2 linked regions of the Danio rerio genome follow. The protein of the gene in region 2 interacts with the protein of the main gene of each other region in a biochemical or structural test. Links are inferred from orthologs where the notes say so. Each region holds a gene or a part of one and is shown on either strand. Other genes may lie near its edges.

The links.
Region 1: the proteins of thbs1b (region 2) and plg form a complex in vitro, tested with the Homo sapiens proteins (2 studies listed by BioGRID). The link is inferred for Danio rerio from reciprocal best matches to the Homo sapiens genes THBS1 and PLG.

The regions. Positions count from the first base shown.
Region 1 is NC_133195.1:46,003,989-46,007,923, forward strand, and holds the start of plg (plasminogen precursor), read right to left. Parts: upstream 2,676-3,935; 5' UTR 2,671-2,675; coding exon 2,622-2,670; intron 2,515-2,621; coding exon 2,485-2,514; intron 2,358-2,484; coding exon 2,231-2,357; intron 2,125-2,230; coding exon 2,018-2,124; intron 1,229-2,017; coding exon 1,114-1,228; intron 1,016-1,113; coding exon 876-1,015; intron 1-875. UniProt on the Homo sapiens protein: Plasmin dissolves the fibrin of blood clots and acts as a proteolytic factor in a variety of other processes including embryonic development, tissue remodeling, tumor invasion, and inflammation. In ovulation, weakens the walls of the Graafian follicle.
Region 2 is NC_133195.1:31,785,856-31,789,790, forward strand, and holds the start of thbs1b (thrombospondin-1), read right to left. Parts: upstream 2,594-3,935; 5' UTR 2,436-2,593; intron 2,333-2,435; 5' UTR 2,313-2,332; coding exon 2,249-2,312; intron 1,537-2,248; coding exon 977-1,536; intron 896-976; coding exon 820-895; intron 422-819; coding exon 332-421; intron 245-331; coding exon 135-244; intron 50-134; coding exon 1-49. UniProt on the Homo sapiens protein: Adhesive glycoprotein that mediates cell-to-cell and cell-to-matrix interactions.

The sequences.
Region 1 (3,935 bases), about 14 Mb from region 2:
CCTGCATTGGGCTCACACATATACTCTGCACTCTGACTACTTCAACAATGTTGATAAGCCATGGTGGGTTTTTCTCTCTGTCTCACGCTGTCATCAGTGCAGATTAGCATTGGGCTGAGGAGGGGTTTAGGGAACAAATAAATCGCTGAACAAATCCTTTGGGAGTCGTTGAGATAATTGGGTAAAAATAAATGCATATTATAAGACAATGAAAGTGTTTTAGACCTTGCATGCATATCAGACTGTTGTTGGACACAGCCAAAACCAAAATATGGCCTTTAATAATGCATAATGGGGGCTCTTTAATCTTTGTTCATAGCTGTGTGTCATTATTGTATCATTATTATGTCATGTTTCAGCTGTGTATTTTAAAATGGCACTTCCAGTGTTGTTGGTCCCTTTTCTTGTTGCATGCACAAGTAATGATTCTCTGTAAACCAATAGCATTCAGCTGCGAGTATTGCTCCAACCTTTTACAATACTGTTGTGCAAGGTACTCTTGCGAAAGGGTCCCAAAATGTATGCTATGTTTCACTATTTTGATACTTATAACAGTGGAAATGGAAATTAATGTGTGCTGTATTTAACTGTATCGCACCGTAACCACTCAGTGAAAATGAGCCATTAGTTAAAGGTACAAGATCATTTCTAAATATTTGCATGATTAAGTAGCAAATCTTCTCAATTTATTTTATCACACCATATAGTTATCAGTGTAATGATGTTACCAGGGGGTTAGATGTAGGATTTGTTTATAAAGCAAATAGTCTACTCCCTCATTTTAAATGAAAGCAACAGTGAGATTTTGCATGGGATTTCTCCATCCATCTGTATGATTTCTTATCATTATGTACAAGTTTAATTGCTGAATGCACCTGTGCAGTCTTGGATATTGCAGTGCTCCCATCGTTTCTCAGGATCTGTGGTGTAGCACCAGGGACCCCCCTTATCTCCATCTGGGTTTCGACAAAAGTTGGACTCCAAATCTGCTTTTGGGTAAGCTCTTGGTGTTATGCTGCGGGAAGATATGACTGAAGTTATTTAGCTGTTCACTGTGATAAACATTTTGTCTTTTACAGCATCCTGAAACACAAATTTGATAAAGAAGCATACTTGGGTACATGGGGGAAAGTTCCCTCCCATCGCTGACATGTTTTCCCTGATTTTGTCTTGGATTTTGTCCCTCTGTAGTCCATGCCAATGCCATTTACACATTCCAGTAAGTACTCTGTATGAAGGAATTCAATCAATTGGTTACAGCATACTTAACAACGCTTTGTTTACTAATGATGTCGATATACAGTAGAACTGTGGATAATGGTAGTTACTGTACATTCTGCATAGTCCGCTAGGGTTTGTGACAGAAAAACTGGTCTTGTAAAAAAGATGCGAATGATGAAATGTGACCCATTAACTGTGCGTACGTTGGGCAAAAAAGTAAGCTGTTGTAAAATGCTTCTTATATCTATTGATGTTTCATAAGGTGAACCAAGATCTGCAGTATTTTGAACCTGTGTTTACATGTGATAGCCAAGCATTAACCTAGCCCATTTTCTACACTGCTACATGGTAATTTGTGACAAATTTTAATACAGTTGATATTTGATTTAGTGATAATATTTATGTAGCAGAGTTGAATCACAACATTATTTAATATGTAAAATTTGGCTCCTAAACCAAAACCAGAGAACAGAGAACAAATGTTTGTTAAGGACAATTTTTTGTAACCGGGTCAGTGCCTAATACATGCATGAGCAATCCCTCATTGGATGATGGATTTTTAGATAGTCTTCTTCACTTTGTTTACTGACATGGACCAAACTACACTTTGATAAATGCGGATTATATATTAACCCAGGCTCTTGAAAAAATAAAACAAGAAAAAGCCTGTCTCTATTAATTCCAAGTGCACTTAAAGCTCAATTCAAACAAGAGTGATGAGTGCTTAAATTACTTAGAGAGTTCGCTGTCAAACTTTCAAAACCACAAAATAATGGATTAGATGATCAAATCTTACCCTTTTTCTCGTAGAGGGCAGCACTCATTCTTCTCAGTATTTGATCAGTTTTTGAGTTGGCAGGTAATGTTACACAATCCTGATCTTTTTCGATGTACAAGAAGGACCTGACAAGCACATATAAATCCCAAATTTTATTTGAATAGCATGGATGATCACACATTAGACTGCTTTAGTGCTAAACAGTATATTTTGAAGGTTTTAATAATGCACCTGCATGTAAAGGAAACCTCTTTGTTACACTTGACGGCACATTCCTCCACTGTATTGACAGTATATTGAGATTTAGGCAATTTCACTATCCAGGCCCCATCAGTTTTAATATATGCTTCCAGAACATCTGTTGAAATATAGAAAAAGTAAGTCACAAATGCAAGCTTAATTCAGAATAAGTCTAAAATATAAAGATATAACCTTTGATCTCCAAAGATTTTTGTGTCAAACATGAACTAAACTTCCTACAGTACCTGTGCTTTGACTGTGACTCCTGAGAAAACCTGGAGATATTATGATCATGTTAATTATATAAAGATAAACAAATGCTAAATTAGTATTTTTTAATCACAAATATGAGATAAATTTAAACCATTTTAAGCATCCTTACCTGTAAAAAGAAAGAGACCAAGTAAAAGAACTGCTTTGTGTACCTCCATGTCGGAGCATTGACAGGCAGGGACTTTGAGAGGTTTTCAATCTTTTAAACATGACAGTACAACAAACATCACCGGCCGTCACTCATCAGTCAATCATTGTCCTAACAAGGACATGGACCAGGTCAAAAAGTGTTTGATTTGTCGATCGGTTTGTTTGAACCCATCATTACTGTTTATGATCACATGATTTATCAGAGAGTTGTTGTTTTTTTTTATTTGATTATCAACTTTGGTTTTACTTTGCATTTGCATATATTCATAGTAAATTGCACTGATAAAAAACAATGAGGATCAGCAGAGAAAGTATATATCTAAATAAAGCAATCAATTAAACAACAAGATTGTTAATGTAAAATATATACATAACATTTTAAATAATAAAAACTAATATACAATTATAATACAATTTCTGTCTTTCACCACTGTACAAGGTGTAATATTAGATAAACTTTACATTAACATGCTATACCTAAAATAAAAAGTTGTTGTTTTTTAAGTTAATTTTTTTAAGTTGATCCAATGTGTTACGACCTTCTTGTCTAAAATGTGTAAAAAAAATTTAAAAAAGCCTAAAATTTGGTGAATAATATTGAATTAGTACTAATAAAAAAGATAAGAGTGAAGAGTCAGCACAAGGTTTAGAAATGTATAATTTATTTGATAGAAATATAGGTACTTTAACAGAAACTAGATGTCAAACTGAGTGAGTATAGCTTAAAACAACAAACAGAAAGCAGCTAGCTAAGTTTAGAGTACTAGCTCACCTAATGCAAAAATCAAAGATGAAAATTAACAGCATAAACCTCACTGAGCTTCCTCTCTCAACCATATACAGCTGAAAAGATACACAAAATAAAATAAGGCACTCACCTTTTGGTCACACTTGGAAGTAAATCTCGAATTAAATACACAAAATAGTAAACAGTAATAGGAATGGAACTTTTTTTGGCAGTGGACTTAATGTCCTATTTAATTCACTGTGTTACTTGCTGTTTATTTATTGATTATTTATTTTTAATTTTAAGAGTAAGATCCCAAAATCTAAACATTTATATTAAAGGCAGAATTTTTAAATAATAAAATAAACCGCATTATGTATTAATTTAGTCCATCTAAAAAGAACACAAATCTACAAGTTAATTATCAACTGAGAAAGCTGGAGCCGTCCTACGCTAACTCAATACAAACAGAACAACCTAATTTTGCAATTCTGAACACTGTGTCAAGCAACCATGAGAATAAACTAGTGCAATCAAGATTTGAGC
Region 2 (3,935 bases):
CACCAGCACGAATGCCCATTTGATTCATGAGCATGTTTTTGTCATCCGTCTGCAAATACAATGTTTAGCAAATTAATACAACTGAGAGTTTATACCGTATATAGTTGATATATATATTCTTTCTTTTTGCTAACCACTTTTCGGAGTTCATTGGACAGTTCTTGAACCACCACACCAAGACCTTTCAGTTCCTTAAACATGGCAGCCAGATCCTCACATGAAAAGCCACAAATCATTTGCAGATCTGTAAAGGAGAAATATGCAGTTTTATAAGTTTTGGATTTTGCGCACTTTAAATAACTAATATTTTTAACTGAAAACTAAGGTTTACCTTTTGTTTTGTGGCCAGTGTAATCTGTCCTGATTGCAGGGCTGGATCCATTTATGGGATTGTCAAGGGTAATGATATCAGTCATTGCTGCTAGAAAAAAAAGATATACAGATGGCTTAAAGATTATTATAAAAAATGAGCAAACAGAAGACTTCAATTAAAAATGAATGGAAAAGTGAATACAGCTTAAATTATCGGTCTAATTTTGCTATTATTCATTCACTGGCACAGAAGACGATGTATTTGGATTTATGATGTGATGCTTTTTTGTTTGCCTGGTTCATTTTGTTGCACTTAAAAGAAAAGATGTATTGCTAATTTTATGGTCCAACGATTTTTTAGAAAAATATAATTTAATTATTTTTTTATTAAAAAGACACTTATTTAAAAGTTAATATGTAAAGAAAACCGAACCAACATGTGCACAAAAGCTTGCATTCATCATTATTCTTATGGATGCATACTCATGTGTTCTGCATTACACTTACAGTTTTGGCACCCTTTATTCCTCAGGATGGCTTCCAGCGTGGTTCCGAATACAAAGCGCACGTTTTGCAACACCCCCTAAAAATCCACAAGTGGTTAGTACTTCTCATCGCTTCTGTTAACATGCAACAGAGTTCATACAGTGAACAGTCCACTCACCATGAACCTGTCCTTCACCGCGCCTTTACCGATCCTCATTTTGGCCACACCTGGAATCTCCTGAGTCAGGATGGTGTGGATTGAGGCATCGAGCTCCGCCACGTTCACCTCCTCACATCCCACATAGAACTGAACCCTGTCCTCTTGCACGAAAAGAGTGATGTTTTTCCAGTGTCCCACCGCCAAGTCCGCTTCCTCGATGGACACGACCTGCTGCTTGTTCTCGGTGGAAAAAACAATGTCCAGAGTGTTGGCTTTCCCGTTGGAAACGATTTCAAACACGGGTCCAGAACCGTCATTCTTCTCCACAGTCAGCAGGCTTCCCCTCGTGCGTTTGAACTGCTTGAAATTAACCAGCAGCAGAAATCCTTTCTCGGCGTGAATGGAATCGATTAGGTCCCTAAAGGCGCTCTCGGGGACCGGGGGGATCAGGTCGGGGTTCAGGATCTTGTAGGCGGGGCTGTACGGGTCGTCGCCTTTCACCAGGGTCACTCCGTGGTTTTTCCTTGGTACTTGGACCAGCTCGAACAGATCGTAAACACTGTTGTCGTCTCGACTCTCTATCAGGAAGGTTAAATAAATCTCGTTATAATGGATATATCAAACATTAAAGATTACTTTTAAATTGATACGCGGCTCTCTGTGGTACTTGATTCTGATTGGTCAGTTCAGCTGTCAATTATCTGAATCAAATATCGTTGCCCATAGCAACTCAATATAACTGACCGGTCACATACGCTCATATAATGTATCGTTACAAACAAGCATGTGTATTTCAGGTAGGTATATTTGAATACTTTTACTTAAGTAGCAGACTTAAATATATATTTTTATGTGTACTAATTGTGACTAAATTGTTCCGTTTTTAGTTTATAAAAGTATACTGTGAATTATGAGGTGATTAACTACTTTTTATTTATGAAATTAAACTTTATTCCATAAAGTACGTTATTATACTGAAGGCATAGGTAGACTGTTTTCTTTAAATGGATTTTATGGTGACTATATGAAATATACTTGAGGAATTTTTTGAGAAATATAAACATGTTAAACTTAAAATAGACATTCTTATTTTTAGTTTAAATATTTCTTAAAATATTTTTTTCCGATGCTAAAAAGTCACATAATAAACCCACAAGTCCCAAGTATATTTTGGCATAATAACCAAATGGCTAGTAATTTTGTAATATTTAACAGCTAGTTGTTCTTTTAACCACAGGACTGGAGCAGTCCCAATCACTGAACGGCACCAGCTCAAGAATCATCGCTCACCTGCGACTCTCGCGCTCTCGCAGTTCCAAAGCATCAGTAGCAAAAAGATTGCAGTTGACTTCATTTTATCACTTATTCTTTAACCTATCAGAAATCACAAATAAAGGCAAAAGTTATTTAAAAATGAGCCAAACGTACCCTCAAACAGGTCTGATCAATCAAAGGTTTAAAAAAAACTTAAACGCACCTTCCAAGAGTTTAAAACAGCAGCAAATCCAGGGAAAAGTGATATTATTCCTAAGATGCGTCAATCAAAGGTCGTATAAGAAATAATTTTCCTTTTTAGTCGCGATCTACAGCATTCGATGTTGCTTTGCTGTAGTAGTTACAGTGGTCAATCTAACTATTTCCAAAGAGAGCAAAGTGCTATTTAAATAGTTTCATGGCATTCCTGAGCGCGCGTCTCCTCCAATCAGATGCTGAAAGGGAAAAGGGACGAGCTTGCGTTACCTCACAGAGCGTTTGTCTGACTTACACACGAGGGAAAAACGCACAAATTCCAGCCACCACATTCCATAAACATACTTTTGCTTTTTATGACTGCTGCTTCCGTTTAGTTCCGTTTTATTTGCCGCAGTGCTGATTATTTTCGTCGCACTGCTTTTTGTTTGATCATTTAGTAATGTCAGTTATTTCTTGTCACTGAGGATTCGGTCTATTCCGTTCCTTGTCTTAGCTATTGTATTTTCATTTCACTCAATCTATAATAAATGGTTCAAAGTATGTTTTCATGGTCAAGCGTCACTTTTTCTTGTATCTTATTTATTTATTTATTTTTTTAAAGAAAGTGTTTATATTTAAGTACGGTGTATCTGCCATTCACAGCATCTAATGGGATGCCTGTGAAGTAACTGCTGCAGTAAGGCGCGTCTCCGCTAGAGGCCGATCTATGGTTATTTGAGCACCTGGTTCTCTAAAGGATTTCTAATGTTGATTTAATGTTAAATCAGCTAAATGCTATATATATATATATATATATATATATATATATATATATATATATATATATATATATATATATATATATATATATATATATTTTTTTTTTTATTTTATTTTTTTTTTTAGCATTAAAAATAGTTTAACTTCAGCACTTTTTATGTTGTCAGGAGTGTCAAGTTAAAAACTCCCCTAAAACATATATGAAGAGTTAAGATGCAAAAACCTCAAAGTTTCATCTTAAAATTTTCAAAATTATAATTTTTTGAAACTTCTATATTTATATACACTAATTTCATATAAAATGCAATGAAAATAGAATATTAATTGACATAAAAGGAAAATTACTCAACTTTTACATTTGAAAAATGCTAATTTTAGGAGAAAAAAATCAGATGGCGCTTACAGGTGTTTGCATCTGAACTCTTCACATATCCTTATGAAAATTCATTATAGCCAAACCATGTACAAGTACACGTGGTAACCAACTACACTAAGCATAGTTTAACCATTTGGGATGATGGTTATATAAAAGGTAACTAAACAACACTATCAAAAACATGGTATTATCCTAAAAGCTACTACAATGAAAATAGAAATGTAAAAGATATTAATCATACAAACTAAATTTCTAGAATTGTATGTGAAGTAGATATGACAGTACTGCTACACTAGGACTTTTGACATATAGTATAGTCTTCACATCTCACTGTTAAAATGCTGGGTTCCACACAATTCTTTTAAGTTG